Linked DNA regions of Yarrowia lipolytica. The protein of the gene in region 1 interacts with the protein of each later gene in a pairwise test. Links are inferred from orthologs where the notes say so. Each region holds a gene or a part of one and is shown in the gene's direction. Other genes may lie near its edges.

Evidence for each region.
Region 2: the proteins of YALI1_F03389g (region 1) and YALI1_C23755g interact in a two-hybrid assay, tested with the Saccharomyces cerevisiae proteins (2 studies listed by BioGRID). The link is inferred for Yarrowia lipolytica from reciprocal best matches to the Saccharomyces cerevisiae genes END3 and RAD26.
Region 3: the proteins of YALI1_F03389g (region 1) and YALI1_C09923g interact in a protein complementation assay, tested with the Saccharomyces cerevisiae proteins (2 studies listed by BioGRID, with this or other methods). The link is inferred for Yarrowia lipolytica from reciprocal best matches to the Saccharomyces cerevisiae genes END3 and SLA2.

What each region holds. Positions count from the first base shown.
Region 1 is NC_090775.1:332,749-342,467, reverse strand, and holds YALI1_F03389g (uncharacterized protein), read left to right. Parts: upstream 1-3,500; coding exon 3,501-4,703; downstream 4,704-9,719. Other genes in the region: YALI1_F03407g (uncharacterized protein), read left to right, coding at 1,751-2,296; YALI1_F03371g (uncharacterized protein), read left to right, coding at 5,288-6,346; YALI1_F03356g (uncharacterized protein), read left to right, coding at 6,859-8,346; YALI1_F03337g (uncharacterized protein), read left to right, coding at 8,681-9,719. UniProt on the Saccharomyces cerevisiae protein: Component of the PAN1 actin cytoskeleton-regulatory complex required for the internalization of endosomes during actin-coupled endocytosis. The complex links the site of endocytosis to the cell membrane-associated actin cytoskeleton.
Region 2 is NC_090772.1:2,372,498-2,384,120, forward strand, and holds YALI1_C23755g (uncharacterized protein), read left to right. Parts: upstream 1-3,078; coding exon 3,079-6,336; downstream 6,337-11,623. Other genes in the region: YALI1_C23738g (uncharacterized protein), read right to left, coding at 755-1,324, 1,599-1,649; YALI1_C23818g (uncharacterized protein), read right to left, coding at 6,620-9,358; YALI1_C23826g (uncharacterized protein), read left to right, coding at 10,188-10,709; YALI1_C23873g (uncharacterized protein), read right to left, coding at 10,880-11,623. UniProt on the Saccharomyces cerevisiae protein: May be involved in the preferential repair of active genes.
Region 3 is NC_090772.1:982,896-994,389, reverse strand, and holds YALI1_C09923g (uncharacterized protein), read left to right. Parts: upstream 1-2,005; coding exon 2,006-4,990; downstream 4,991-11,494. Other genes in the region: YALI1_C09885g (uncharacterized protein), read right to left, coding at 5,383-5,883; YALI1_C09878g (uncharacterized protein), read left to right, coding at 6,568-7,443; YALI1_C09851g (uncharacterized protein), read right to left, coding at 7,511-9,259; YALI1_C09803t (uncharacterized protein), read right to left, coding at 10,173-11,494. UniProt on the Saccharomyces cerevisiae protein: Required for cellular morphogenesis and polarization of the cortical cytoskeleton. It might act in concert with proteins such as CDC42 and CDC43 to limit the region of cortical patch formation to the cortex of the bud.

The sequences.
Region 1 (9,719 bases):
GGCGTAAGCTACTGTATAATGGCTGAGGGACGCGAGCATGGGTCTACGACTCATATGTAGGGCTAGATTGACTTACGGGCTCAAGTGATAGGAAAGGGCTTGTATACGCAGTAAAACACACGTTAATAAATAATTCAATTGAATCAAACAATATAAGTACAGTACGGGTACCCCAGATCGTCTACTCTATCGGTTGTGTCTCTCGCAATACAGCGTCCCTTTTTCCACCTCACGGTTTCACTTTTCACGCACGTCCCCAAACCTTTTTTAGCCGGGTCAAACAATGACGTGGCATCTGAAGGCCAGCTGGCTGCACTGCGTGCACACGGGAGGTGTGAAAGAGAATGGCTTCGAATGGGGTAAAGTGAGGCCATATGGGGCAGATGGGCATGTGCTACGAGAGCATGAGGCCGGTAGGGGTCTAAATGGGGTATTTGACTTGATGCAGATGGCAATTGTACGTGCACCGAAGCGACGTGACTCTCAGTTGAATACTGTTGTATACTGCCGTATACACTGTCCGAGGTCTATAGTGAGCAAGACTGATCAGTGTGGAAGTATTACTAACCGAGACTTAGTTGGGATCCTACAACGGTCTCAAGTAGCTACTGTAACGCGTCCGTCTCCTTGTTAGGAAAAAGCCCGTCTTTGCCTTCACAATCACTCTCTCCCACTCCTACACCAGTACGATACTTGACAGTGTATCGCATCTTAGTTGTACCGTAGTTTCACGCTCATTCCCCTCCATTGTTTTGACACGCTGGTCCATCGAACCTAAGACTAAATCCGATGCACGCGAATCTCCGGAGCCAGAAAAAACAAGCAGGGAAACGACAGCGAGACTAGAGATGGTATTGTAAGTGAGGAAAGTCGGTTGAAACTAGTACATAAAGAGTGGGGCCAGGCGGGTTGGTGGATTATTATCTTCCAAATGCTCGAAGACACGTGTATAGCTCATTATCTTCCCCCCCCCTACTCATCAAGCTTGGGTCATTGTTGCATTTAATGTTGTGCATTTCCAAGCCACGTGACCCGACAAGCGTTACCCTCCCTGACTCTGATGATGATTTGGCCTTTTTCGTCCCACAACCAACACAAACTCCTTTCTGGACTAATTGCAGCACTCAACCCAGACAGTCTTATTCATTCGATTTTGAATAATCAAGACTTTGTCATTAACTTATTGCATTTTATCGATTGCGTGAACTAGAGTGAGTATCTCTCGACGATGGATGGGCCCCTGGAGCTCCTCCATTAATCATTTCCCAGCACCTAGGGGTGTGAGCCCCGAAACACATGACAAGATACGATGAACAGAGGTGTCCCCAACGCCATCGACCAGCAATCAACATGATCAAACAGCCGCCATCCATTCCGACACCGAGGCATACACTTGTGCCATTTTTATTTGCCGACCTCCCACAACGCCACCGTGACAAAACGACACGTTTATCTTATGGCTATGCACATGCGTATCATCATGTATGATAGGGCACAACAACAGGGGGGGGGTTCGGGGCAATCAAAGGCAAGCGAGGATGGATGGAAGCCAAGCAGTACACGGATGGCGTCGTGTTTGACACTTCATACTCTCCACGCCTGTGCTGTCGCTGTCTGATTGCTCGCGTGGCTTTCTTTATTTTTCATGGTGCTGCATGGGGGGTGTTGTGTCAAGTCGTCGCGTCACCCTTAGACTTTTCGAGAAGAAATTTTCAACCTTTTACAACAACACACACATACTAACAACAAGATGGGTCTTTACGTTTCCAAGCTCTTCCAGGGCCTCATTGGCCGAAAGGAGATGCGAATTCTGATGGTTGGTCTCGATGCCGCTGGTAAGACCACCATTCTCTACAAGCTCAAGCTCGGTGAGATTGTCACCACCATCCCCACAATTGGTTTCAACGTGGAGACTGTCGAATACAAGAACGTCACTTTCACAGTTTGGGATATCGGTGGACAGGACCGAATCCGACCTCTCTGGCGATACTACTACCAGAACACCCAGGGTGTTATCTACGTTGTTGACTCCAACGATCGAGATCGAATTCCCGATGCTCGAGAAGAGCTCCAGCGACTCCTCAACGACGACGAGCTCCGAGACGCCCTTCTCCTTGTCTTTGCCAACAAGCAGGATCTGCCCAACGCCATGGATGCTGCCGAGATCACTGAGAAGCTTGGTCTGTCTTCATTAAGACAACGACCCTGGTACATCCAGGCTACTTGTGCCACCTCTGGTGACGGTATCTACGAGGGTCTTGAGTGGTTGGTCACCAACCTCAAGAACACTACTTAAGAGCCATGTTTAGTAACTGTAGTTAATACTGTATCGGTAGTATCTGGATTGTGGAAGCTCAGGTGGAGCTTTATATCAAGGAATTTCATCGTTCAATAAAGCTAGATGTAATGAGTATACTGAAAAGAATGAGTACAAAGTGCATCAGAAATCGTAGCCTCGTATCGAAGCCATGTACAATTGTACCCGTGGACGTGGTCGTTTACGTTGCACCTTTGCGACGCACTGTTATCTTATCAATATGTACTCGTAGATGCCAGCTGGCCTTTACTGGGGCTAATCAAACCATCTGCACAGTCGTGTCAGCGCTGTATATTTGTTGTACAAATACACCTATGGGATTTCTGCTTCGATCCAGTCCCTAGTATTACCTTTCGAGGGTGTTTCCGTTTGTGAGGGTGAAAATTTCATTTCAGAAGGAGCACTTAAAATAGCACCCAATTGGCTCTCTCACCTCCAACCAGGGGGGTTGTGAATTTGACGGAGTTAGCCCGGGGAGTTTGGTAAAACTACACTAGAGTGACTAATATGATGTTCCCAGAGTTTTAGGGTGTTTTATCTTCTTTTTACGTGTCCGGATGGTCGGGATCTTGTATTCTTCCACTGGTGTGTTTCTTGTCGTGTCATTTGCCAACCTCTTGCACTGCCATCTTTGGATTGGATTGGATGCCATGTGGTTGCACCTGGTGCGAAGTGTTCGATACACTCCTAATTACTTGTACGATAGTTGGTGGACGATGTAAAACGATGACCAGCTAATGAGTCATATTCTTGTAGTGGATAATCGCCATAAGGCGCTAATTGTGGCCATTTCCCTCTACAGTATGGTTCTACTGGTAATTGGATGTCTTGTGTTGTTCTTCGTTCTCCTCTTTGTCAAAAAAAAAGGCCTCGAAATTAATATGCCACACACGAGTGATAACCGTGTGGTTGCAGTGAAACATGAGGTGTACGTCATTTGGAACGTGTATAGAGAAGTTGGACTTTCTGACAGTGACAGAGTTGATGTATTACGGCCATTCGAATATATATATGGGGTAGCTGTAGTTGCTTTTCCACTCAAGTACGATACGATACTTACTTGGACACTACACTTCCTATAACCAGCCACCTCCCTCCCATCCCATCAGCAACAAGTAAGTTACCCTACCGCAACACCACATGCAGCTAATCGCTCACTAACAGACACTATCGGTGCCACATCATGAGTGCTCAAGGTAAGCTGGAGGAGTGGGAAATCAACAAGTACTGGGACATTTTCAGCGGGCTCAAACCCGTCAACAATGTGCTCACCGGCGACCAGGTTTCCCCCGTGCTCAAAAACTCCAATCTGTCGGAGGACAAGTTGGCCAAGATTTGGGATCTGGCCGACGTGGACAGTGACGGCTGTCTCGACTTTGAGGAGTTCTGTATTACCATGCGACTCATCTTCGACCTTCTCAACAACAACATCAACGACGTGCCCTCCACGCTACCCCAATGGCTGGTCCCACAGTCCAAGGCCCACTTAATAGAAGCCAACAAAGCCATCAGCCAGCCCCACTCCAAGCTGGATGATTCCGACGACGAGGATCTCGAGAACCTCGGTCTCTCTACAGATTTCGACTGGTACATTTCGCCTGCCGATCGAGATTCCTACTCGGCCATCTTCACAGCCAATTGTGACCGTCATGGCCGGGTCTCCTATGATGCTCTGACGGAGCTCTACCAGACTCTGAGCCGGGTGCCCGAAGGCGACATTGCCATGGCCTGGAACCTGGTCAACCCCAAGTCCGACGAGCGGATCGAGAAGGAGCAGTGTCTGGTGTTTCTGCACATGCTTAACTATCGAGAAAAGGGAGTGCGTATCCCCCGAGGAGTGCCTGCGTCGCTGCGAGCCACCTTTGAGAAGGCCACCCCTGAGTTCAGCATAAACTCGAGCCAGGCCGAGCTCAAGCCCCAGAAGAGCAACGCCCCTGCCTCCAAGAAGGAGGCGTTTGCCAACGGCTACCTGCAGAAGCTGGGTATTGGAGGAAATTCGTACTCAACATCGGGCACGGACTTTTCGGCCACCAAGGACACCGACTGGGAGGAGGTGCGGCTAAAGCGGGAACTGACGGATCTGGAGAACCTGGTGGAAAAGGCTGAACGTGCGGCCGCCGACTCAAAACAGCACGGCAACTCGTACTCCACGTCGCACACTGCATTAATCAAACGAGAGCTGGAGCAATTGCTTGATTACAAGGAGGAACAGCTTCGGAAGGCTAAGAGCGGCGCTCCCGCGTCGGTGGGGGAGACCAACCTCAAGGAAAGTGAAGAGGAGGTCAATCTGCTGGAGATGCAGGTGAACGAGCTGGAGGTTCACCAGCAGAGAAAGCAGCAGGAATTGGACCAGCTGGAGGCAGAGTTGGCTTCTCTGAGAAAGTAAGTAGAGCACCATTTTCTAGTAGAAGGTGCACAACTGAGCTGTATATTTAATGACAAATTTGACGAGCAATGAAGAAATGTCTGAAAAATGCTGGAAAGCATAGCCAATGAATGACTGGAACAGGACGTGCATGTGCGAAGACAGAGATTGCCAGCCGCTTTTCTAAAAGTGAAGCAAACATACAGCTCGAGAGATCTCATGATACAAATCTATGCATAGTAGTCACCGTTATATATAAGCCCCCAGTTAAGAGTATTCTCTTTGTACAGTATGTACAATGTGTCGACTTATGCTCTCTCAATCTGTGCCGGTGACAGTAGGTAATCTCAGTCTGGAAGCACTACAAGTACTTGTAGATATTGTAACTACTCGTAACTGTTGCTTTTGCCTTAGAATGGGAAAGTGCACGACACTTCTCAATGGCTAGGAGATAGATGAGTGTTGATATTACTTTAAAATCTAAGTAACCTACTTATCATGTTACTTATTGCGAGCTCGAATCCCATGAAACCCACTCTTTGATCTGCCAAAGAAGATGTTGCATGCAAAAGCCGTCCTTCTGAATCGACCCAGGTTGTACCCTAATGCATCAACCATTGAACTACAAGTACTCCATCCAATGCCATCACGGGTTGTACTTCCGTGAAAAGCCATCTTCCTACTCTGGACTTTTCAATAGCACTCATTCCGAATCTCACCCTACATTCCCATGTAACCAGCATCGCTCTATCTCAACTAAATTGTCATTTATGCATCTACTTCTTGTCGCCTTCCTTCTCCTCGGGCTTGGGGGTGGGGAGCTTGAAAGAGTCGGGTCGGTCGTCTCGACCGGGTCCAACAGGCTCCCAAGCGGTGGAGCCGGCAGAGAAGTTTCGGAAGGCCTGGGTAAGCTCCAGGGGCTCGTAAACCACTCGTCGCTTCTCCTCGTCCCATCGGACCTCAGTGTATCCGGTGAGAGGGAAGTCCTTTCGCAGAGGGTGGCCCTCAAAACCGTAGTCGGTCATGATTCGTCGCAGATCGGGGTGGCCCTCAAAGAAGACTCCGTACATATCGTAGGCCTCTCGCTCGAACCAGTTGGCGCCCTCGTACAGGCAGGTGATACTGGGGACGGGGGTCACCTCGGTAGCGTATGTCTTAAGTCGGATTCGCGAGTTGTGTCGCACAGACAGAAAGTTGTAGACCACCTCGAACCGGTTTTCTCGAGAGGGGTAGTCCACGGCGGTAATATCGATGATGGACTTGTACTGAGTCGAGGTGTTGTCTCGCAGGAAGGTAGTGACGGGAATGACAGCGCTTGGTGCAACGTGCAGAGTCAGCTCGTCCTTCCACACAGAAAAGCCCTGGATGTACTTGGGCAGAGCAGCCATGATGTATTTGGCGTACTGGTGGAGGTCCGACACGTGCTGGAGGTATCGGTCTGCGGGGTTGACGATGGGCTCGTAAACCTCGTCAACATGGACCTTGGGGTCGAGTCGGATGTCCTTGATGTTCTCCCAAGAGGGGGCGGCCTGGGCGGCTCGGGCGGAGGTCACAAAGGTAGCACGGGCTGCTGCGACGGGGCGGATGCCCATGCTGCCAATTCTGGCGAATCGAGAGAGCATTGTGTTAGTTGTGTGTTGTGTGTCACGACGGCTCCTGCGTAACCAGTATTACAGGCTTTTGCACCAGACAAGAGTTGGGTTTGACAATTGAATTTTGGCGAGTTTGATTGGGCGAGACGTTGGGAGAAACCCTGCACGTGACCAAAAAGTGGGAGGTATTGAATAAGTGGGTGTATGAAGCGGTGATGGGGTAGGGGTTGGTCGGAGATGGAATTTAGGGGGGTCAGATAAGTATTTATGTTTTTTCCCACAGGCATTTTGATAGTAAAACACCGTATTAGGCACATTTCTGTCCTGTCCTCACATGTCATTAGACTCCATACAAGTGGAACTTAGTCAGCCGAATTGGGCAAGCTCCCAGCAGGCACAAAACACGCCAAATTGTGAACTTACCCGGCACTAAACAGACAACTTGGCGATACAACTCTCTTTACACCACACACAGATAGCGTTGCCACACTACCAACCTGATCTGACCCATACACCACGTCACACATACAATACGACACCACAAAACCGCATCTTCATCATCACCAAGACAGACACACACAATAATGGCATTTCAGGCAGACTCTTTCATCTCCGATGAGGAAGAAGAGGTGTGTCCTCTCTGCGTCGAAGAGATGGACATCAGTGACCGAAACTTCAAGCCCTGTCCGTGCGGCTACCAGATCTGCCAGTTCTGTTACAACAACATTCGTCAGAACCCGCAGCTAAATGGCAGATGCCCCGGATGTCGACGGCCCTACGACGACGAGAGTGTTGAGTACAAGGTCATCTCGCCCGAGGAGTGGAAGAAGCATCATGTCAAGCAGACCAAGCAGGAGCGGGAGCGAAAGCAAAAGGAGCGGGAAAAGAAGGAGATGGAACAGAGCTCACGCAAGCATCTGTCGGGCATGCGAGTTATCCAGAAGAACCTCGTTTATGTCATCGGCCTCAACCCAGACATACCCACCGAAGATCTGCACAACACTCTTCGTGGCGAGCAGTTCTTTGGACAGTATGGCCGCATCCAGAAGATTGTCATCAACCGGCGCAACAACGTCAACGGCACCCCCGGCCTTGGCGTCTATGTGACGTTCTCCAAAAAGGAGGACGCCGCTCGATGTATCGCTGCCGTGGACGGCTCCATGAACGACGGCAAGTACTTGAGGGCAGCGTACGGCACCACAAAGTACTGCTCGTCATACCTGCGGGGCCAACCCTGCCCCAACCCCAATTGCATGTTCCTGCACGAACCTGGGGAGGAGGCAGACTCGTACACCCGGCAGGATCTCTCCACAATTCAGCATGCGGCTCGACAGGGCATTCAAAAGCAACAGCGACAGCAGCAGCAGCAACAACGGTACGGCGACTTCCAGCAGCACTCCCAACCATCGCCCGTGCAGCCCAACACTCCTATTAGACACCAGAGTGGCCACGCTGCAGTGGCTCAACATGCCACTGAAGACATCCATGGAAACGCTCTTCCTGCCACTGCCTCTTGGGCCAAGCAGAGCCCCACAACCCCTGCTGGAAAGCTGCATACTCCCGCCCAGGCCTCTCCTGTCAAGCCCACTCCAGTAGAGCCTGCTGTGAACTACCCTATGCCGGATCCGGATCCCAAGCGTCAGATGGACTTCACTCTGCCCTTGTTCAAGAACACACTCAAGTCGCTATCAAAGAACAAGTTTGACTTTGTGTTCTCATCGGCCATTCTCAAGTCTTTGGATCTGGACGACGACAAGAACTCGCTGCCTAATCTATTTGCCTTCTCTAAGGACAACATCATGGACCCCAGCAAGCACGAATCGTCCGAGTTTCTGGAGGGCCAGTTCACACCCTTTGCCATCTTTTCTGGTGGTAAAGCCGCGGCTCTTCCTCTGGCCAGCGACGAGACCCAGAGCTTCCAACAACTCATGAAAGGAGGCCCCACCGACAAAGTGCCCGAGCAGGCCGCCACCCCACCTCCTGGTCTCATGGGGGACAGCAACCAGAAACAGCATCACAGCCAAGAGCTTCTGGCACATCTAATGAACGGCGGCAAGAAAGGTGAGAACTAAGCTCTTTTGAACATTGTTAAAACTCAGGAAACCCCTACAGCGGCCCAACAATTTGATTTTATGTATGTTGACCATGTAGACAAAATGCAGTTAATGAAATTAAAGGCGCGCTGTGATTGCATACGTGGAGCCTGAGCGTAGATTTTACCATAAAGTACAACCAACTAACACAGAAACATCGAGAAACCAGCCCCATAACGTAAAGTCTGTGCTGGCCGCAGGCTACGAGGACTCCAGCCTGAGCCCTTCTACATCTCCCTCCAGAAGAGCCCCTGTGCTGTCTGTTGACGACAGAATCCCCGAAGAGACTCTCAGGGCTATTAGTCAGGGTCCCATGACGCTGACGAGAGATTTCAACCCCGACCAGTGGGGACCGACTACTACTCAGCCTTTCGGCCTTCCTCCTGGACTTTCTGCTTCTCCAGGGCTTTCTGCTCCCCCAGGTCTCAGTGGACCTCCTGGACTGTCTGGACCTCCCGGTTTGGCTGGACCCCGTCCTGAGACTTCAATGTACAACTCTTTAGAGGTTGAAGGATTCGACAAGTCTCCTCTGGATGTCAACAGACCTGCCATGGTGCGACCTGAGCCCTTCCATGCTCATGTGCCTGTGACCCCTGGTGTAGGATTCAGTAGTGACCATCTTTATGACAATGAGTTGGATGACGACTTTAACGAGGACACAGGTGATTACGAAAACCTGGCTATCAACAGAGTCGTGGGACCTCCTCAGGATGACGACAGCGACATGCATGCCGACGATCTACGATCTGTTACCACTGATGGTGCACCCAGCGAAATTGATTTTACTGGCAGTCGACCTGCCACTCCTGATCTCGACCTTCCTGAACCTCCTCGAATCCTGTCTTCTGAGCACATCTCTGTACTATCCAAGAACGAGAAGCGAAAGTACAGAAACTCGCTTAAGGCCTATGAGAGGGAGAAGAAGCTTGCAATCAAGAACTACAAAAAGGAGCAGGAGGATGCTGAGCGGGCCGAGAGAGCTGCTCTGACCACCATTGAGGAGGAAGAAGCTCAGACTAAGAAGGCGCTAGCACTAAAGGCATGCGAGGAGGTGGAGCATGCGGCTGAGACCCTCAAGAAGGCGTTGGAAGCGGCCGAGGCAGAAAAGAAGGCTAAGGAGGCTGTAGCTGACGAGGAAGCCAGAGCTGAAAAGCAACGTCTCAGGGAGGAGAAACAGAAAATCAAGGAAGAGAAGGCTCGTATCAAGGCTGAGAAGGCTCTCAAGCACAAGGAGGAGAAAGAAAAACGGGATGCTGAGCGCTTCAAACTTGCTGAAGAACGGATGGAGAAGGAGCGAATCGAGGCCGAGCGACTGGAGAAAGAAAAGGCTGAGAAAGAGCAGGTTGAGAAGG
Region 2 (11,623 bases), on another chromosome or scaffold:
GGCTGGAGGCAGGAGGGAGAAAATGGATCACGTGACCAAAAATACGACGGGCGTTGTTGTTGTCGTGCCACGTGGCAGTACACGTGACTTTTGGCCCTCTGCTGGCCCGCCTGGTCTCCAAGCGGCTGATTGTAGGGCTGAATTGAAATGCTGTACAACGGTCGACTGTATCATGGAGACTCGGAGTTATTAAGGTACCGGCAATTAATTAAGATGCGCATTGAACTTAATCTCCGGAAATAAAAACTAAATAAAAACTAAATAAAAATTAAATAAAAAAACACAAAACATGCTTGGCTAGAGCGACATGATTGCAGCAGTGATGGGTTTGTACGGTCGGTGGGGAATTTTGGTTTTTCCTGGTAAATAGTCATATCTGGGTTCTCGTATCCATGAAAAGAGGCGCTCCAGGTTGAACTCGAGATAAGTGAAGAGTATTAGTGAAGAGTATAAGTGAAACTGTTGGTCTTGGGGTCACCATAGATGGATGTACTGGTACTCATATGATACCTTTTAACTCCTGAGAGTGTCTTGCAAGATTCTCAAGACTTTACAAGCCTTCTCATCTCCCATACATACAGTATTGACAGGTATGTACGACTTAGTATGTACTATATTTCGTCAGTAATGGTTGAATAAGTATCAAATAACTGTACTAACAAAATCTCTCTTCATTTCAAGCTCATTTAATTATTATATCGTATACTATTGGGCTCGTTTCTGCCAGCTTACTTACTGGTAATCTCGGAAGGGCTTAGTACTTGGCCAGAGGTCGCTGGGCCCACTGTTTCTCGGCAAAGTCCCAGTTGAGCACCTCCCAGAGGTTGTCAAAGTAGGCGGCCTTGTTGTTGTAGTACTGGATGTAGTAGGCGTGCTCCCAAAAGTCGATTCCCAGCAGAGTGACGGCTCCGGGGGCCGAAATAGCGTCCTGGTTGCTGGTGACCTCGATCTTGAGAGTTCCGTCGGGGTAAGACACGAGCCAAGCCCAACCAGAGCCCTGGAGAGCCAGAAGATCAGCCTTGAGCTTGGCTTTGAACTCATCCAGAGAGCCAAACTGCTTGGCAATCTCCTCCTTGAGTTTCGCGCCTCCCTTGGCTCCGTCGGAAGACGAGGGGGTCAGTGACTTCCAGAAAATGGAGTGGTTGACATGGCCTCCTCCGTTGAAGTTGATGGCCTTCTGCAGAGCAATTTGTCTGACCACGTCGTTGGCGGCGACAGCCTCCTGCAGCTGCTTGGTGGCAGCATTGAGGTTGTTCACGTAGGTCTGGTGGTGCTTGGAGTGATGGATCTCCATGATCTGGGCGGAGATCTGGGGCTCGAGGGCCTAGGTTAGTACGAGAGCAGAGGCAGAGTGATTGACGGGATCTAAACCAGGGAGAGCAGACCCGATAGTTGACAGGGCTAGACACGTCGAGTCCCGGGAATCACTTAGGGACTCGATTAGTTTAGACAGAGACCCGGTTAACAGACGGACTAGGCACCACGTGAATCAATTGAGTCGGGTGAGTCAATCAAGTTGCTCTTCCAATAGATTTGTACCATATTTGGTCATGTCTGGTCACACAGAGACAAGGGACTATTCCAGGTACTGTACCGACCTCCATCCACTTAGACCGGAGCATTGATGCTGACTGATTGAGACCATGCATGAGACGGTTGCCTAGGGGTAGTTGCTTTAGCCAATGAGGACTGACCCATTGGCAACTGTCTGTCCATCTGTCATTATCTTCAGGGCCCGTCGAAAAATCTATGTCTGTCGGGTCTGACCCTGATCGTGTCCGACCATGTCTGACCCTGACCGTGTCCGGCCGTGTCCTCCATGTTCTGTATCCTCAACAATACTCACATCATAGGCGTAGGGGAGAGGGGGCAGGACGTAGGACATTTTGGTGTTGACGAGAGCAAATTGGGGTCTTGGACTAAGAAAGAGAAAGCTGATTCCTGGGGTTGTAGCTTGGGGTTTAAGAGAACCCTGGTGGTTATGAGGATAGTGGAAGGTACAAGGAACTGAGGGGACGGAAGCAAGCCACGATGAGCAAATTGCAGCTTTGAAAACGTGCAAATCAGGCTAGACTTGTTGTTTCCGCAGACTAAATCTGCTCAATTGATTACATATATGCTCATTACGCCGTTCTAAATGCTCATTATTTGCTCACTGGATAGAGACATGGGGTCCGAAGCCACATGGACGTGTGACTTTTGGTAAACTGAAAGGTCTTGTTTGTTTTTGTGGATAACACGTGAGATACCGACTATTCGGCTCACAGACGGATATTTCTCAATTTTTCCTCGATTTAATCCGATTTTCAATTGTGTATTTCGTCTCATGCTCCCCACATTAACGGACTTGCGCCATTCATGTACCGTTGATGACTCGGTAAATTGAAAAAGGAAATTCAGAAAATTCGCACTAGTCAGAAAATTCCAAACAAGTCAGAAAGTTCCAAGATAATTCAGAAAATTCCAAGATAATTCAGTAAATCGGAAGAAAAAAAACCATATGCTTCAAAAAACACCAATATTCATCAACAATCTCACTTTTTCGCCTCTCAGTGCGAAAAGCAAAAACACTAAATTACTGGAGGTGTATTTGTCAGCATCTCTGACTGTCACCCAACAGGACTTACTGTACCGGTAGGAAAGAAATAAGACTCTACATGGGTGTCATGGGTGTTTCTATGCCTTTCTCTGTCAGATAACAGACCCAATCATCTCCTAACTACTCTTATAAGTCGCTGGCATCGACCTCATGATTCTTCCTCCAACGGTGGAAACACGACGGCGTTCCCTCATGTGATTATTGGAGGTTTTCCCGTATATATGATCCTTCTGGCTTGATTTATCGGCTCAGAGTGAAGTTGCCCAAGGATATCAATGGTTTATCACCCTTATTTCTCCATATTTTTGTTTTTCCTGCCTGCTCTAAAAAAAAAAAAAAAAAAAAAAAAAAAAAAAAAAAAAAACCTAATTTATTTTTCTGATTTTCGCCACAAAAATTTTAGGTTACGATTAACCTCGATGAACATGTACGCTGTCTGTTAATTAATTTTTTCCATTATATTGACTAGCGCAACATTGATGGACGAGTTATCACGGCTTTCGGTGGACGTGGTCGACCAGGGCACGCTGGAGAACCAGATCACCAATGAGGCAGACTCGATTCTCAAGAAGCGCGAGTTTGAGATCGACACCAAACGGCTCTCCAAGGCGCAGGATGCTGAAAAGACGTTTCTCAGTAAACTGCGGTCCATGGAGCGAAAGATCAATGATCCCGCCACCAAGATCAGCGAGCGCGAGAAGCTGAAGCGCGACGTGGCCACTCTCAAGCGCACCGAGCTCGCCACGGTCCAGCAGGACATTTCTGACATCAGACAGCGACTACAAGAGAACGACACCAGCAGTGCAACTACAGAGCTACAGGCGTCGGATCGACATGAAGGCGAGTCGGAACAGGAGTACCTTGTTCGAACCGGAAAAATCACCCCGTTCGCCAACACCAGGGGGTTTACTAGAGGAAAAGGAGATGTGACTCAGAACATTGATACCAGCAAGCCATATACTTCGAGCACTATTACTGAACTCGGTGATATCAAAGAGGACGACGACGATGACGGAGAGGATGAAATCAAGGACGAAGAAGATGCTGAAGACGACGCGGACGCTTACTCATCTGGATACACTACGGACGAGATTGAACCTGAAGATATGGAGCTTGTGGAGCTGAAAAAGAAGCGGAGACGTACCGAACGACCAGAGACGGAAGCTATCGACGACGGAGACGAGTGGTCTTATCAGCAACGGCTTAATTGGTGGGTGGAAAAGCGCCAAAAGGCTAGGGCCAGAGCCGGAGTCATCGTTCCTGCCAGTGACTATGCCAAGGAGGAATGGCTTTTAGACGGACCTGAGGCCGATGCTATTCTTGAGGGCAACTTCAAGGTGCCTGGAGAAATCTTCAATGCTCTATTTGACTATCAGAAGACGTGTGTTCAGTGGTTGTGGGAGCTGCATACGCAAAAGACGGGAGGTATCATTGGAGACGAGATGGGTCTGGGCAAAACTATTCAAATTATCAGTTTCCTGGCCGGTCTGCATCATTCTGGTCTGCTTACCAAACCCGTCATTGTCGTGTGTCCTGCCACAGTCATGAAACAGTGGGTTGAGGAGTTCCATAAGTGGTGGCCGGCTCTGAGAGTGGTGATTTTGCATAGTATGGGCGAGGGGAGCAAGGGCAAAAAGAAGCGCAAAGGTGAGATTGACTCTGATGACGATGATGATGAAATGATTAGACCCACTCCTTCAAGCACCAAGAATCTCGTTGAGACTATTGACAAGGTGTTTAAGGACGGCCACGTGGTTGTCACGACCTATGCAGGTCTCAAATCGTATCGCTCGCTGCTTCTGGACCGTGAATGGGGCTATTGCATTCTTGATGAGGGTCACAAGATTCGAAATCCTGACTCTCAAATCACTCTCGACTGCAAGCAGCTCAAGACGGTGCATCGGCTGATTCTGTCAGGAACACCTATTCAGAACAACCTCACCGAGCTGTGGAGTTTGTTGGATTTTGTTTGTCCCGGTCGACTGGGTACCCTGCCTGTCTTTCACTCGCAGTTTGCTGTTCCTATCAACGTTGGAGGGTACGCCAATGCTACTAACATCCAGGTCCAGACTGCCTACAAGTGTGCCGTTGTACTTCGAGACCTGATCGCACCGTATCTCTTGCGTCGAATGAAGACTGATGTGGCCACTGATCTGCCCAAGAAGGAGGAGAAGGTGCTCTTCTGCAAACTGACGGACTCGCAAAGGCTGCATTACAAGGGTTTCCTCAAGTCCGAAGAACTCAAATCGATTCTGGCCGGAAAACGGCAGTCACTATTTGGTATCGACATCCTACGTAAGATTTGCAACCACCCTGACCTCGCGTCTCGAGAGATCCTCAAGAAGACAGCGGATTACTACTACGGAGACCCTGCCAAATCAGGAAAGATGCAGGTGGTCAAGGCTCTTGTGGATCTGTGGAAGAAGCAGGGTCACAGGACGCTTCTTTTCTGCCAGACTCGTCAGATGTTGGAGATCCTGGAAGACTTCTTTGCTAACATGCCTGACATCAAGTATCTTCGAATGGACGGCACCACACCCATTTCCAAGCGGCAGGATATGGTAGACACATACAACAAGGACACGTCGTACGATTTGTTTTTGTTGACAACTCGAGTGGGAGGGCTTGGTGTGAACCTCACTGGAGCAAATCGTGTCATCATTTTTGACCCTGATTGGAACCCCAGTACGGATCTGCAAGCTCGAGAACGATCCTGGCGTCTGGGACAGAAACGAAATGTTGTTGTCTACCGCTTGATGACGGCAGGTACGATTGAAGAGAAAATCTATCATCGGCAGATCTTCAAGCAGTTTCTGACCAACAAGATTCTCAAGGATGCCAAGCAGCGTCGTTTCTTCAAGATGAACGACATTCACGATCTGTTTTCGCTTGACGACGGAGAAGGAGACACCACCGAGACGGGTATGATTTTCTCCGGTTCCGAAAAGAAGATTGAGAACAAGAAACCCGAGAAGAAGATGAAGGACGACGACGACTTCTACCAGGTGGTCGGTCTCAATGGAGTGTCCAAGCTTGAGAAGTTTGAGAACGGCGAGGAGGAACGAGCCGAGAGTAATGACGGAGATAACGATGACAACATTCTCAACGACATCTTCTCTCAGACCGGTGTGCATTCTGCACTTGAACACGACGCTATCATGGATGCGTCTCGTCCAGAGACCGTTATCATCGAACGAGAGGCTAAGAGAGTTGCTGAAGTAGCTGCCAAAGCTCTCAGAGACTCGCGGAAGAAGGCACAGGCCAACGACATTGGAACTGTGACTTGGACGGGCAAGTTTGGCAGTGCCGGAAAGTTTGGCAAGAAGAAGCAGTCGGCTGGTAAAGTCGGAGTGCCGAAATTTGGGTCAGACAAGTTCTCTTCGTCCTCCATTCTGCAAAACATTAAGGCGAAGAAATCCCTGGAGGAGTCTACTAATGCATACACTGGTCTGATCAACATGAGCGATCTGGACAAGGTCAAGCTGCTGGAGAAGATCAGCGAGAGTCTCAAACTGGCCGGAGCAGGAGGCTTGTCGTCGAAAGACATTGCCAACGAGTTTGCTCTCAAGTTGACTAATCAGGAGGAGGTGGCAGTCATGAGACAGCTACTGAGACAGGCTGGAGAGTGGAATGGAGCCACGAAGAAGTGGAGGTATAAGGCCGTCGAGGATGTGGGAGATGAGGACGAGGAGATACAGGAGGTGGTCCCCGTGGATGAAATGGGAAATAAACTGTAGATAGATATTTATAATGCATGCTTCAACATGAATCTGATTATTGTCATCAGGCACGACAACTATTACTCGGACAACGAAAAGGAAAACCAATCTTGCCTTGCCTACAGTACCAGTTATGGGATAAAAATATGTAAATCCATTTATACATGATGCAAAGATTCTTCTAGTAGTTGAGCTGGTTAATCACAGCATTACGTCTTCCGTTGACCGGCCTCCTTCGCACTCGACGATAGCGCACTCGGACAACGTCCTCAACTGTACTACCTCCGACTCATCAAATGTACTACCACCGACTCATCAACCCATTCTCCAACTTTCTCACCACCTCACCATACTCGTTTCCCTGTCCCTGGTGATTCCTGGTCAGCTCTGATGGAGGAATGTACGCGGGACTGGGTTGGGCCTGGATATGGTCCGCAGGATTAACCATAGCCGTTGCTCTCTGAATAGGCGGCGGAATGGGATCCATGGATCCATATGTCAACGCTCGCGGTCGTCTCGAACCCGAACCCGAGTTCTGCTGCTTCAGACCGGTGCTCCAGTTGGCAGGAGGCTGCATGTGTGCATACTGCGCCGCCTCAGCAGACGTCTGAGCTGCGGAGGAGCCTGCAGCTGGGCCGGGGGGGACCATGGCATTGGCGTTCTGGCCCTGAGCGTGTAGAGGCTGGGACTGCGAAATGGGCTGGGCTGTCGGTGTGGGGTGGAAGACGTCCTTTTCTTCCTTGGGATGTGGCACAAAGGGACCTGTGAACTTGGACTCGGTGATGAACGGATGAGATGCCGCCTGTTGAGGAGTCCACCGCTCAAAGGGATTGTAGTTGAGCAAACCCATGAGGAAATCATACAGCGCCTCGCGGTTGAGCATCTCCTTGTCAATATCCGCCCGCTTCATATCCTTCTTATGCAAGGGGTACTCCATGATAATGGTTTTGAGATTTGCAGATGTGAAGTACTGCTTGGACTCCTTTTCATCCACGTTAAACTCACGGGAGTATCGCTCCCGCGACTTGAGCCGGTATCGCTTGCGGCCCTGGTCGTCCACAATCTTTTCCATGAACTTGCCGCTGTTCTTGCCCATCTCAACCATCCAATTAGGAGGGTCACCCAGAGATGCCACTATTCGAGACAGCTGGTTGTACTCAGACGCTCCAGGGAAGATGGGAAGACCGAGGAATAGCTCGGCAATGATGCAGCCCATGGACCACATGTCGATGGAGGTGGTATATGGGATACCGAGCAACACCTCGGGCGATCGGTAAAACCGCGATTGGATATATGTGTAGACAGTTTTTCTTTCGTGGCAAGCAGACCCAAAGTCAATCACCTTGATAATGGGACTATCGAGGTTTTTGAGCAAAATGTTTTCGGGCTTGAGATCACAATGGATGAGTTTGGCGTTTTTCAGCACTGTGAGAGAGTCCAGAAGCTGGCGAGAAAACACCCTGACGAGATTGATAGACAAGCCCCGGAACTGGTTCTGTTTGAGAAGTTCGTAGAGGTTAGAACTCAGCAGCTCAAACACGAGACAGTAATGTTGCTTATGCAAAAACTTGTCCTTGAGCCGCAAAATGTGGTGCTCGTCCTTGTTGTCGACCGAGTTATTCAGGTACTCAAGAATCGACACCTCCATCATGCTCTGGTTTAAGAACGCTGGGTTGTTCTTAATCACCTTGACCGCCACAATATCCTTAGTCTTCATGTTCTGGCACTTGACCACTTGCCCAAACGTACCCTGACCCAAAATATCTAGTACCAGATAGCGCTTGTTTTCGTCAGTACCCAGGACGTCATTAACGTACAGAATGTAGTCGTTGTCTCTGTTGTCGTGGCCATTGTTAAGCTTCGGCTCACTGGGCTTGGTGAGCACCCTGCGTGGGTTCTTGGACGACTCGTAGTTGAAGCCCGAGTTGCAGATCTGGTACGTGGCTGACAGCTGCAACGTCAGACACATGAGAGGCGACATGTAGCCGCCCTCGGGGATTGCCCGACGATTCTGGGGTCTTGGGTTGACCTGGGGATTGAGGTCAGAAGCCCGTTCAACCGGTCGGAAGGATGGAGGAGGAATTGACGCAGGCGGCTCCTGCGGTTGCGGCTGAGGCTGTATCGGTGGCTGTGGTGGAGCTGCATGAATGGGCTGAGGAGCCACGTGTACCGCTTGAGGGGCCGACTGAGGAGCTGTGATGGGAGGTGGTTGTGTTTGAGGTGTTTGTTGTGCCTGTTGCGTCCAATAGTATGGCTTTGTTGCCGGCATGGCGGGATTGTAATGCTGCTGGGGTGTCTGTTGATGCTGCTGCTGCTGCTGCTGCTGGGGTTGTTGAGATGGTTGGCCTTTGCGCACCGGTGACACCCGCGATCGGGCGTAGTTGCCTGCGGGGGTGCTGTGAGGGGACGCCCAGGGGTTGTAAGAAGCCGATTGGGGCGTTACAGGTGAAGAGGACATTTGCACTGATCCCAGAGGAGTGCCGGGCTGCATCTGAGGTGCCAGTGGCGTGCCGGGTTGCGACCTATACAGCGGTTCATGTGGCGACGAATGTTGTTGATGCTGGAGCCCGGGGGGCAGGCCGTACTGTGTCTGCGTCGGGGGATAGTGGCTGGGTTCGTGTGAGGGTCTGCGGGTCGACACAGGCGACGAGGGCTCGTATTGGTGCATGAGCTGCGGGTGGGGCAGCTGTTGGGTCGACAGGGCGTTGGACATGGACGTCTGGAACTGCGGATGCGGTTGCGAGGGCGAAAAAGGACCCATCTGCTGTTGGTGGTAGTACAGACTGCGTTGTGAGTGGGACATGTGCGGAGATCCCATTCCTGCTGAAGTTGAAGAGGCAGCGGCTGCCGAGCTCGAGGCCGACACGTTGGGCGCGCTCTCAAAGCTCTTACGGTAGTAGTCTGTCGGGTACGGTGGCTGTTGTTGTTGCTGTTGTTGCTGCTGCTGATGCTGCTGCTGCTGTTTGTGTCCGATCAGCGACGGCATCAGGTGCCCGTTGGACGACATTTTGCGGTGATGCGGCGACGGCGAATGGTCCATCACGGTCACGGCGGCGGTCGGTGTCAGGCTTGCACTCCGATCGACAAGCGAATGTTGAGCGAGCAGTGGCACAGAGTGTTTGCGGAGCGCGATCGAGCCGAATGACGTGGCCTCGTGAGAAGGATAGGGTGCAGACGCAATCTCGGCGTGGTCCGAGGCGGAAGAGTCCCAATGGCAGAGATACAAGTGCAGATACACTTGGTGATGTGGAGTGTCAGTGTAGCCCAAACCAAAGTCTAATTCATAACATGGGGGGGACCACAGTGGAAAACGTCAAACAAGGAAGTGGAAGCAATCTCTTGGCGTGTTTGAAGGGGGTAACATAATAAATGCCCCCCGGTGAACAGGTGGACCAGAAAAGGCCATCAGTAGGTCCGTCGCCGCCATCGCATTCGTCCCGGTCACGTGACCTCCCACCTCCCACCTCCCATTCGATACACTTCCTGCTGCACTACATGCGGTGACGTGTGAGCACATATTGTAGCATCAGTTGTTTCATGCGGCGGCGGCGGAATGCTTACTAATGCGCTTGAGCGGGGTGTTCTGGGGGGAGGGTGCTCTTGGTCGTCGCATCGGTTACCCTACCGTGGTACTCTCGGTCCTGTCATACTGCTACCAGAAACTCGCGCTCGAGCCCCCTATCACTACTGTGCCAGTATATCTATGACGCATTCTACTGAGGGTAATTGCGGGCACAGCAGGGGTCTGTCAAGCTTTTTTTACCCGTTGGGTTATTATTAGTATTTCCACTTCTCTTCCAAACCTTTCAACTAGCTTTCCAACTAATCTGCATAACTACGCTGCAGTACAGACAGTACAATACACACACATGAGCCACCAAGAAGAACACTACGCGTGGCGACAGACGCTCCAGGACATCACAATCACCTTCCCCGTGCCTCCAGGCACTCGTGGCAAGCAGATGGATATCAAATTCACCCCCACGACCATCTCGGCAGGTGTCGTGGGCCAGCCTCCCGTTCTTCAAGGCGATCTGTTTGGCAAAATCGCCCCTGAAGAGTCAACGTGGACTGTGGAGGACCAGAGAGAAGTCACCATCAGCATTGAGAAGGTCCACAACCAGGAATGGTGGCCACACGTGGTTACCACGGCCCCCAAGATTGACGTTTCCCAGATCGAGCCAGAGAAGTCCAACCTCAGTGATCTGGACGGAGAAACACGAGCCATGGTGGAAAAGATGATGTACGACCAGCGGCAGAAGGAAATGGGCCAGCCCACGTCGGACGAGCAGCGCAAGCAGCAGCTCCTGGAGAATTTCAAAAAACAGCACCCGGAAATGGACTTCTCAAAGGCAAAGATCAACGAGGGCTTTGGAAACATGCCTCAATAAGCGAACCAACCAGCTCATCGAAGCTGTCGGTTGCAGTAGCAATCATCTAGGCGTGGTTCCATTCTTGTGGTGTAATTCTGTCTGTCACGGACAAGTCCACGATACATTATTGGTCTAAATAAGTTATTTTCATTCATATAGTTATGCGATTGTATTTGTAATTCAATGTATCAGAATCCAAAGGAGAAGGCGCTCATGTCGGGCTCCTGGAACTGGCTCGGGGGAGCTGGTTTTTTGCCATTTCTTTCCTTCTTAGTCTTGTCACCGTTCTCAGTGTTGTCTTCGGGCTTATCCGCCTTTGGTTTGTCCTCCTCCTCCTTCTTCGCAGCATTGACACCATTCTTTTCAGTGCCGCTCTTTGGTTTGTCCTCTGTCTTCGGAGAATCATGGAAACTGTCCAGCATCGAGGGAGGTTCACTGGACGTTTTTTCTTTCTTGGGCTCCTCATATCCACTCAGCATGGAAGGTGGCTCCTGGAAACTATCCAACATAGAAGGAGGATGACTAGCGTTGGTCTTGGACTCCTTCTTTGGCTCATGGAACCCATCCAACATCGAAGGAGCTCCTTTCCCACCACCACCCATGTCAAATCCCTCCAACATGGAAGGACCCTCGCTAGCAGGAATGGGGGCCGGTTTGGATTTGAAGTCCCTGAACGCAGCAAGGGAGTCCGCGTCAGGCTTCTGGTTCTCCTGGACGTCCTCATCAGCCTTCTCAGGAACCTCGTCCTTCTTGAATTTCCAGTTTCGGACAAGATTCAAGGCAATGACCTCGCAGCCCATTCGAGAGTATAGCTTGGCAGTAGTGAACACACTTTGCAGCTCGGTGGCTGATGTGACGCCGTTGTTGGAGCTCACCACCTTAAACTTGGAGTCTCGCAGGAACTGGTACAGAATCAACAGAGCTGGGTCGTT
Region 3 (11,494 bases), on another chromosome or scaffold:
CAGACGACGTGTTTGTGGTTTAGATAAGTAAACATGCGTCATTTGGGGTTTTTTCAGCTGAAGGTCTTCTCTTTGCACTCGTCTAATATCTCTTATCGCTGTTGTTAGCTCCATCTAAGCTCTCTCTAAGCCCTCTACTCTGTTTCCACTTGCTCCATACCATGCACCATTAACGCCAGTGTGACGCTGCAATATTGGGGGTAACGGAGGCTGGAGTTGGTGGCGCAACGTATATACGAGAGCAAGAGATGGTAATCTGAAGTGAGAGCCGTACTGTTCCAGAATATGACTTGATTTTGGCGCTTGTACCTTTGACGATTGCTGTAGACTGCTCGATAGCGTGAGTTACATAAGCCTGAGTAATGAAACTAAAGGTCTGGTTGTACTGATGCAAGTGATTAGTTTGAGGTGAATCTGACGTCGGAAAAACACCGCTGATCTACTGTAGACTCATCCCATGAACTTTAGACACGGTACGATGATGTCTTTACGCTTAGCTATCTAGCTGAGATGGACCAAAGATCCAGTTAGGGATACACTACGGCATGAATCACACGGAACCAGACCCACTAACATCAGGGGAACTGGTGAATTCTCAACAAGCAGTCAAATGGCGTTCACGAGGCTTCCCAAAAACCTCTCCCAGATCATCTCCAGCTCAACCAATATCTAACAACGAAGTCAGCTAAACCTCCATATTTTTTTATATTTTTTTATATTTTTTTTATAAGAACGTGATACCTTTGTCATATCTTGCTTAACCAATACCTAACCACTATGTTAACTAAATTACCTGTATTTATTGACCCAAAAACTAGTTAATGTACCCTCCAAAACATGTCTGCATTACGGCATTTTGCTTAATTCCCTAAAATTAGTCATCACTGCCATTCTCGCCACCCAGCCACGGCTGTTACACTTCATAAACCCATCTCTTTAAGTCTCTCCAATCTTTTTTCAATGTCTCTCGAAATAGCTCTAGGTGTCGTATTGTTGTGCGCTAATTAGGGGGGTGAACAAGTCTACCAAAAGACGCAATACTCACCAGATTGAAATTTTTAAAGCTGAAATGGAACCACAAAGTTGCAATAAACACCTTTACGTCTTCAGTTTCTCAATACCACTTCTAACCTCCCCTCCAAACCCCTCCCACGAAACCTCCAGATTCCAAACGGCACAACCTAAAGATGCATACCCCATGTCTTAGTGTGGAGACACGTAGCTAAGCCATTCGCAAGCGCTTGCTGCTGAGTAAGAGAAAGACCGATAGACGGACCTTATTTATCACGTCATGAGACGCTTGGTATCTATCACGTGACCCCATACACACTCCCCACAAACACTCACACAGTTCTGTTCTCGGGTTGCATACTCCCCGTTTAATATCTCATGCAGCATCAGCATGAGGGGGCGGTTAGGATGATATAAAACCCTCTGATAAGTCCTCCAAGTGGTTATACAGGGACTTATTCGGACCACAATTACTCCCAAAGACTTTGTGTTCTCAATTGAGCTATTCTAGGGTTCTTACTAAGCCGGTTAGATCGATACGAGTGCTAGCCGTCTTTACTCCTCATGTATGTAGGTGTATTGGAGATGTCCTTGACGTGTCAGTATGTGCTCGTACTCGTATTGTGGCAAACTCTGTTGATCTCGGTGTTGGAGAGTCCCAGAAGTTGACATGGCACAAGTTCAGCAAGTCCGTATTAATGCAACAATATTGCCACTTTCGCTCTCTGCTCCTCAGCTCTAGAGACCCTCAAATTTCACTCGGACTTAACACTGTGACATTAAAGTTGTCCCAATAAAAACACCGCATAACGAGGCTATGCGTTATCACCGGTGTCACTTGCTTTACTGAACTTGGACTTGGAGTTGTTCATCTGAGCGAGGAAGGAGTCACGCAGACACAAAAGCAATCAGACACAGCGACTACGAACGAACCCGACACAGACACAGCCGCTAAAGACACAAACTCAACAACTAGTTCAGACTCCCTTCTACGATGTCTTCCAACAGAGCCGAAGTGGACCTCAACGTCAACATCAAAAAGGCGACCAACACAGACGAGTCTGCGCCCAAGCGGAAACACGTGCGAGCATGCATTGTGTACACCCATGACCACCGGTCGTCCAAGGCCTTCTGGAACGGCATTCGAATTCAGCCCCTGCAGACCGACGATGTCATGGTCTTCAAGGCCCTGATCACCATCCACAAGGTGCTTCAGGAGGGCCACCCATCGGCGCTGAGAGATGCCCAGGCCAATGTCAACTTCATCCAGTCGTTGGCTCGAGGAAACAACTACACTGGTCCTAACCAGGGCAACCATGGTTATGGCAAGCTCATCTCCGAGTATGTCCGGTTCCTCATGCAGAAGCTCACCTTCCACAAGTACCACCCGGCCTTCAACGGAATGTTTGAGTACGAGGATTACATTTCTCTGCGAACCGTTAACGACCCCAACGAGGGATACGAGGCCATTATGAACCTGATGACCCTCCAGGACGGAGTGGACGACTTCCAGCGACTTGTCTTCTCGTCGCTGCAGCGATCCCGATCCAACGAGTGCAAAATCTCGTCTCTGGTTCCCATGATTGCCGAGTCGTACGGAATCTACCGGTTCGTCATCTCCATGCTGCGAGCCATGCATGTGTCTACTGGTAACGACGAGGCTCTTGAGTCTCTCCGGCAGCGATTCTACTCGCAGCACGACCGCCTGAGAGACTTTTACTACGATTGCTCTACTCTCAAGTACCTGCGATCCATCGTGACTATCCCGCAGCTCGGCAAGAACCCTCCCAACCTGCTTGAAGAGGAGGACGGACCTGGACTCCCCCAGCGACCCAAGTCCGTGGCCGAGACCCGATCTGTGTCTCCAGAGCCCGCTCCCTTGCCTGTGGCGACCCCTACGCCCTCTATTCCTGCTGAGGCTCAGCCGATTGAGAACTTTTGGTCCCAGGACGCGCTGCTCGCCCAGCAACAGTACGACGCCGAGCAGGAGCGGCTACGGCAGCAACAGGCCATGGAGGAGGAGCGCATCCGGCAGATGCAGATGCAGCAGCAGCAGCAGTTTGAAATGCAGCAGCGACAGCAGATGGAAGCGCAACAGCGGGCTCAGGAACAACTAATGGCCGACCAGATGGCCCGACATGCCCAGGGTCGAATGGCCGAGCTTGAGCGAGACATTCTGGCTCTCCGAGGTCAGTACGATCAGGATCAGCTCATGCTGGAGCAGTACGATGGTCGAGTAAAGGCTCTGGAGGCTGAGCTGAATCAGCTGCAGCAGACTGCTCATCAGAGCGCCCAGGCCAAGGATGATCTGATTGAATCTCTTCAGCAGCAGATCACCATGTGGCGGCAAAAGTACGAGACTCTGGCCAAACGGTACTCGTCCATGCGAGAGGAATATCTTGCCTTGCTCAAGAAGCTCAAGGCTACCCAACAGAAGGCTGCGTCAGCTAAGGAAGCCATTGAGAAGGCTGAGAAGCTGGAGCGAGACATGCGACACAAGAACATTGAGCTTGCTGATCTCATCAAGGAGCGAGATCGAGCTCGATATGATCTTGACCGTGCCAAGGGTGGCAACAAGGAGGACGTGGAGCGTCTGGAACGAGAGCTTCGAATGGCCCAGGACAAGCTGGCCGATAAGGACCGATCTACCGGTGCTGATCTGTCTCTTCTTTTGTCGAAGCATAACCGAGAGCTTTCAGAGCTTGAGAATGCTTTGAAGATGAAGCAGCGGGCTCTGGACGAGCGAGGAGATGACTCTGATCTGTTGAGACGACTGGAAGAGAAGGAGATTGAGTACGAGGCTCTCAACGAAGCCTTCAACTCGCTGGCTCTGCACCAGGAGCAGCAGGGCAACAACAGCAACGGTGGATCCACTCCCCTGGCTGCTTTGCATTCTATCATTGATGCTCTTCTAGAGTCCGGTTCCCAGCGTGTTCAGGACGCTCTCTTCGAGCTCGAGTCGCCTATGCAGGCCGGTAACCAGAACTCGACTCCCGAGTATCTCTTGTCTGTCATCGAGAAGGCGTCCGAGTCTGCTTCCGCCTTTGCCACGTCGTTCAACAACTTCTTGGCCGACGAAACCGATGGCGACTACGCCGAGATCATCAAGACCGTCAACATCTACTCTACTGCTGTGGAGAATGTTCTGTCCAACTCCAAGGGTCTCACTCGTCTGGCCAAGGACGATGCTTCTGCCGACGCCCTTGTCAACTTTGCTCGTGAGTCTGCCGAGGCCACAGAGCGAAACTTTATTGGTCTTCTGTCTGAGATCATTGAGGATTTCCCTCTGGATGACAAGATGGAGCGGGTCATCACTCTCAACATGAACGTGCAGACTGCTCTTCAGCACCTCACCAAGCTGGCCGAGCGAATGGCCCCCAAGACCAACATCAACATGTCTGGTGATCTGGGCGACCTCGTTGAGCGAGAGATGGCCAAGGCTGCTGATGCCATTGCTGCTGCTTCTGCTAAGCTTGGCGATCTGCTCAAGTTTAACCAGTCCGACCCTCTCAAGTCGACCACCGACCTGCAGCTGCACGAGGCTGCCATCCAGGCTGCCCAGGCCGTCATCAACGCCATTGCTGCGCTGATTCGAGCTGCCACCGATGCCCAGAACGAGATTGTAGCCCAGGGACGAGGTACTTCTTCTCGAGCACAGTTCTACAAGAAGAACAACAAGTGGACCGAGGGTCTTATTTCCGCGGCCAAGAGTGTAGCTGCATCGACCAACATTCTCATCGAGAAGGCCGACGGCACTCTCCGACGAACCTCTGGTCTCGAGGAGCTCATTGTGGCTTCCAACAACGTCGCTGCTTCCACTGCTCAGCTGGTTGCTGCCTCTCGAGTAAAGGCTACCTTCATGTCCAAGACCCAGGACAAGCTGGAAGAGTGTTCAAAGGTGGTTACTTCCGCCTGCCGAAACCTAAGCAGGTGCAGGAAATTCTCAACAAGAAGTTTGGCGAGCTGGACGAAAAGGTAGACTACGCTGCCCTCTCCAAGCACGAGTTCAAGACGACCGAAATGGAACAGCAGGTCGAGATTCTCAAGCTCGAAAACGATCTGCAGGGCGCCCGAAAGCGACTTGGACAGATGCGAAAGGTCGCCTACCTGCATCAGGACGAGGAGGAGTCCATTCCTGGCCAGGAGGACTAAGCTACGCGCGGCTGATGTATGTATAACATGTATGGTAAATGAATGAAATGATATTTTTAGTGATCGAATGATGAAGAAGGCTCTGCGATGCTTTACTCGTTACATGACAACTGTCCAATGCGACAGTTCTATGTTACTATGACACACACTATTTATTACGATGCAAATTATGTTGACATGCATGAGACAAACCCCACTGTAACCACTTTATTAGAAATGCTAAGGGCTCTCAGGGAAGCTGCACTCATCAATGGACCCGGGACTAGTCATGGGTGAAGGTATGAACCTAGTTGATCCATCATCAGGGGAATCCGTCTTGGGCTCTCTGAACCGACGATTGGTGAACCATTGTGTAACCTGATGAAGTGAGATTCCACAATGCTCTCCAATAATTCTCCTCTCTGTTCTGGTTGGATGAGAACAGATCTTGAACAGAGAGTCAAGATAGGCGGTAACCTCGTTACTTAACCTATTCCGGACTTTCTTAGGAAAGACGTCACAGTTGTGATCCAGACTCTGCAACTTGTCAGCTTCTTTTAGAGCTCTGGCTTTGACTTCGAGGTCTTTGGTGCTGGCCTCATAGGCCTCTGATTTCGCCTCTATGTCTTTGTCTAAATTTGCTGCGACCTCTAGATAGTCATCAAGCAGCTCTGCGGCAATTCCTTTTGCAAGACTGTACTCATCATTCCAATCAGCACCCAGTATGGCCTTACTGGTCATCCATTCGTTCTGTTTTAGTATTCCCCAATACTGCTCTTGTTTTCAATATACTCACTAATCTCGCTGGTACCAGTTGCTGGATGTAAGTGATGTAGTGGCGAATCAGCCTGTCGTATTTGATTCTGTGTTCATTTGGAACACCCTCCAAAAAGGTCCAAATCGTTGTGCTTATGTAGAGTCCACTCTCAGGGAATTTGGACATCCACTCAGAAATCTCTTCAAACCATTTAAGGGAACTGGAGATTTCGATTGACTGTTCGTGAAGGGCCTGGCACGTGGTTTCGCCTTTTCTTGCGGCCAAGATCAGGCGCTGGCAGCGCCAGATATCTGTAGGGGTTCGGCTAGGCATGTGATGTGGGGAGAAAAAAAATGTCGTATCTGTTTAATTAAGTACCAGGGTGTACTTGGTGGGGCCGTTTCTAGATATATATTTACAATGGTCACTTGGACTGGTCAGACGAGGTGGATGTGGCTAGTTTACCCCGATATTATTCATGCACGCCGTGCATATGGTTCTGGAACAAAGACACCTTAAGCGACATTGGCTCTTGCCTCATCACAATTGCCTAAACTAGAGATCTAGTATTTCCAGACCAACACATATCGACAAATATATATAAACAACATGCAACTCTCTTGGCTGGCTATTATCAGCTATACCAAGCCACACATAACATCCTCAAAATGGAAAACACGATACTACACATTCATTCCTTTCAACTACCCCAAACAGAACAGCCCTACCCCGAGGCTATGTTATTCGACAGGGACACTAGCGATTCACGTACGGTTCTAACTCAGAAGCCAAATGGACTGGAAATATCACTCAACTTTTTGCAATATGACGGTCACAAGGGGCTGTTCATCAGGCAAGACAGTCGAACGAATGAGCCTGAGTACATTGAACCCAAAGTTCTGAAACCTAGGAACAGCTACATCTTGTTCCGAAATGCAACATCCAGATGCTCTCAGAGCATTGATCCCAACTCAGCATTTGTTTCGAGGGTCTCCAGTTATATCTGGGGCTCGGGAATCCCCAATCCTATTGTTCGGCGATGGTTCAAGTATATGGGTTTCTTCGAAGCCCTATACCACGAAGTCGACTATCCTGAGTATATCCCGAACAAACTGCCCAAGTCCCCAAAGAAGCCGAAGGTCCAGAAGGGTGCAACTAAGTCTAAGAAAAAGGGAGCAAAGGGTAAGAACAAGGTTACTGCTCTCCAAGTACTGGTCGGCCCTACCGTTGGTGTCGGGGGAAGGATGACTGTTAGCCCAATGACTGCTTTCTTTAGCAACAACTCTCACGTTACGTGCTATGACCCCAACTTTGTTCTCGATACACCTACTCGAGAATTCCTCATGATGCCCCTGGATGATATCACTCTCCCATCGCAAGGACCAAGATCAGATTCACAGGAGCAGCACGTCCCTCGGCAGCCTCCCGATGGGCAGGACTATTTTGACATTCTGGATATTGATGATTTCGTTTCTCCTTATGATGACTTGACTACTCGCTCGTTCACCAACAGGCAGCTTTTTAAGCATGCCACACTGGGTTGAGCTTGGTAATTTTCTGTACTCACTGTACGTTTATCATTGGACACACTAACGGTATTATAATTTAATTTTATTTCCACTGAAAGAAGTTACATCTGGCACTGGTGTCGTCCTGGGAGCCCTTGGCGTCGGGGTCTGCCGATGCCTTGTAGGAGTCGCCGACGAGCTGCAGCGAGTGGTTCTGGCCACAAACCCAAAAGTGCTTGCCCTGGTTGGGTCCCTTTTTGCGGGTGGTTCTTAGCACCGCCGGGAGGTTGTGGGCACAGACGGGGGCAGGTTTTTTTGTCATGATCTTGGACCACTGCGACGCGACCTTTTCGGCCTCCTCCACGCGCTCCGCAATGTCTAGGTACTCGGTGGGCTCTGGCAAGTCCAGTCTGGTGGCCATTTGCGGTCTCGTATCTTCACCCTCTCGAGTCGCATGCGCACCTGCATCGCAACCTTGATAGGTCCTTTCAATATTTGGGGACGCGGCGGGTGATTGTGATTGTCCCAACGGCTTTGTGTGCACATCCGAGACGCATGTTGATACGACGGCAGCTTCTGGATCTGGCTTTTGGAAGAAGGAGGAGATGGCCGCCTGTTTTTTGGCAGTCGATTTGGAGGGCGCTTTGGGTTTGGTAATGCCCTTGGTCGGCGGCGTTTGTGCCCGGAACATGGACATGACCGAGGTGGTCTGCACAAACTGCTTGTTAGTTCTGTGGAACAGTTTTGGCCGAAACGAGTTTGGGGCTGAGGACGACGCTTGTTTGGTCTGGTTAGCTGCACCTTGAGTGGCACGGTTGTCTTTTTCTTGGCACGCGTCTGGTTCGCGCACCTCTGCATAAACGGGACAATGGTCTGAGCCCTCCAGGTGGGGCAGAATATCGGCATCCTCCACCTTCAGACCTTTTGAGGCCAGCACGTAGTCGATACGAGACCCAAAGTTTCCGGGCCGGTAGTTCATCATCACGTTCCAGCAAGTATACATGTCGGGTCGATTGGGATGCTTGTCGCGGCACGAGTCCTGTAACAGGTCGGGGACCAGTCTGTGGAAGACTCGTCGGCCAACTTTGGCTTCCCTCCAGCTCTTACACTGTCCCGGGTTGAGCTTTTCAAACACCTCCACAAACCTGCCCTCCTCCTTATCTCCCAGTGTCGGTAGAGTGATGTGTTTGGCCTTGTGCAGCGCTTGCATTCCCTCAGCTGAGTCGTACAGCTCGCGTGCCACATTGAGATCTCCCATGACCACCACCTCTCGTCCAGCCTCAACCAGAAGGTTGACCCGTTCCTCCAGCAACCCAAAATAGTCGTCTCTGTAGGCATCTCGCTCCTCGCCCTCGGTGGCGGTGCTAGGACAGTAGAGCCCAAACACGACACAGAACCCCAGGTCCAACACAAGAGACCGGCCCTCCGAATCGACCTGAAAGAGCCGCTGTGGATTGCCCTCGGGATAGGCGCCGATACAACTCTTGCTGCTGCCGTCTCTCTCCCTTTGCCGCTCGTACAGCTGCTGGTAGGTGAGTCCCTTTTTGGAGTCCGGAGATACCAGCTGACCGGTAAGACCCTCCTCGGCCTTGAGAACTTTGATGCCATGTTTCACATAGACCGCCACGCCGCTGTAGCCCTTTTTTGTGTTGGAAAAAGACCAGTACGAATCGTATCCGGGCACAAGGGCGTGTTCTCGCTTCAGCAAATGGGGCTGGAGCTTGGTTTCTTGTAAACAGATCACGTCCGCCTTCAGCACCGCAAACATGTGCTCAAACGACCTTTGCTCGTTCCATGGATGGTAGCTCAGCACGTTGTTGATGCCACAGATGTTGAACGTGACGAATCTCATGTGGCGACCGGTCCTGCATGTGGACTCTAGCTACTGTAGGGTGCTATCGCTAGATCACGGAGGTGAGTTTGGAGTTTCTGCAGAGTTTATTTGAGCGGCTAAAATACAGTATGTTCTATTGTATGCACAGCACATACAAGTAGATACTATTACTTGTAGATATCACCAATATACGCACCACAGGTGATATAACTGCTCCCGTGCACGTGTAACAATGGGGACATTTGGGGCATGAAAATGCTCCATCAGCCGTATCACTCTTTTGTAGGGACGATTGACTGGTCAAATTGGGCTGATTTCATGATCCCCGCAAGTATCTTTCGTTTCAGGAACATTTTATCGAGAGTGAAAATGTGTATACGTTTGTTTTATGATGAATAAACTGGTCAGTCTGGTTTCAGGGTCTGTTGTATTTTTGGGTCTTTTTCATGGGTCATATATATAGAGTGATACCATTGTTACAGTAATTAGGGCTGTTCTAAGTATCACTGTTTTTTTTTTTTTTTTCTGCATATACATTCATTTAATTATAACTTTGCCGTGAAAGAATAACCTTTGAAATGAATGTACGCTTACACGAATATTACTAATTAAACACGTTTAGTGTCATGGTCCAACTTGGCACGTACCTATTTCCAGTAAAAAAATCATAAAAAAACCTGGTTCAGTCCGTGTTGTATGTTGGTCCACATAGCTTCGCGTGTTTGTTCGTTCATCGGGAAAACGCCACTCCAGTCTCCAGTTCTCTAATCTCAATCCTTCCATTGCCCTCTTCATTTGCATTGCCTTTGAAAACTTCTCCTTGTGGTTCTTCTTCGTCATTGGTTTGGTTCTGCGTCCCCTGTGGTGACTACGCGCCCTGCTACGCTGTTCTCTCGGTGGCCTCGGCCGCCTTTTACGCTTGCTACTGTGTCTACTCTCGCTCATCGTGAAGTGCTGGCGGTTGTCCATCGTAGAAACACATCTGGGCTTCCTTCAGGAATTGAAGCAAACCCTGTTGGACATGTCCCAGGGTGGCGTCGTCCCCTGAGTACCGGAGGGATCTCTCCATCTTCCAGATCCCATAAGCCAATTCCCGCAGATATTTGCGTGTCTTGACTTGTTGATGTTTCCGGGGGGCGTCACTGTTCACATGCCCTGGGAAAGAGGGGAGTACTCCACATTTCGACTCGGTAAAGATCCAGTCCTTTAGAGAGTCCACTGACGGAATCTTCATCCTGGTCAACATGGAAAGAAGAACTTCGCACTTGCAGAAGATATGCTCGTGCAGATCCTGAATGATGGCCTTATCACAGAGCCCGCATCCTGGATTCTTCTTGGTGAAAACGTGGTCGTCAGGGTATCTCCATTTCACGAGCGGAAGTCGAGATATCCGCATGAGGTGAAGAACTTGTGCTTTGTTGGCGTCGGCGATGTAGTGTTTTCGAAGGTCATGCATTACCTCCTGCCAGACCATGTCGTCAGAGATGCCCCCGTAGTCGCTTCGTTGAGTCCACTTCTTCGGTCGTGCAAGTGTGTGTGGGAAGTTTGGCAAGTCGGGAGACGAGGTCTTGTGAAACATGAAGTTCTCTAGAGTAAGTGGTCCCATGCTCCACCGGAGGTGGTCGATTTCCGCTGTGGACACCATTCTGACCGGATGGTATCGTCTCGCGGCTGCGATGTCGACGTGTGCTTCCCGGAAAGATTCTGCTGCTCTCACGTTCACCTGGTTTCGTTCCCAGATTCTGTGATTAACTGTGTCTGTTGTAGAGGGCTCGTGATCTTCTCGAGGGTTGGCATGTTCCGCGGTGAGGGGCTTGTTGAGCTCGAAAGAAGCTCTGATTGCGTCTCGCATGGTGGGGGAGGCTGCGTAGCCCCAAGCTTGGCCTGTCGGAAAGCGGCAGTCGACGCGCTGGTGTGGCTTTTCCTGTGTGAGACTGTGAGTTCTGCTGTAGAACTGGAAGGTGCAGTCCCAAAGGGCCGGCGATGAGCCATGGAAGAACCTGTAAGCCCGAGCGGCCTTCAGGCACACCATGAAACGTCCCATGTCCCGCAGGTTCAGTCCTCCTCTGCCTACCGGAGTTTGGATGAAACCATTGCTGAAGGTTTTGCGTGTTTTGTCGGGTGATAATTTGTTGATCTTGTCGCACGCTAGTTCGTTCAGCTCTCGGATGAAGGTGTTGTCGATCTGGCTGACGTAGGGTCCAAGGAAATTCAGTTTCGAGAAGAAGTAGATGTTGATCATCCACGCCTTGC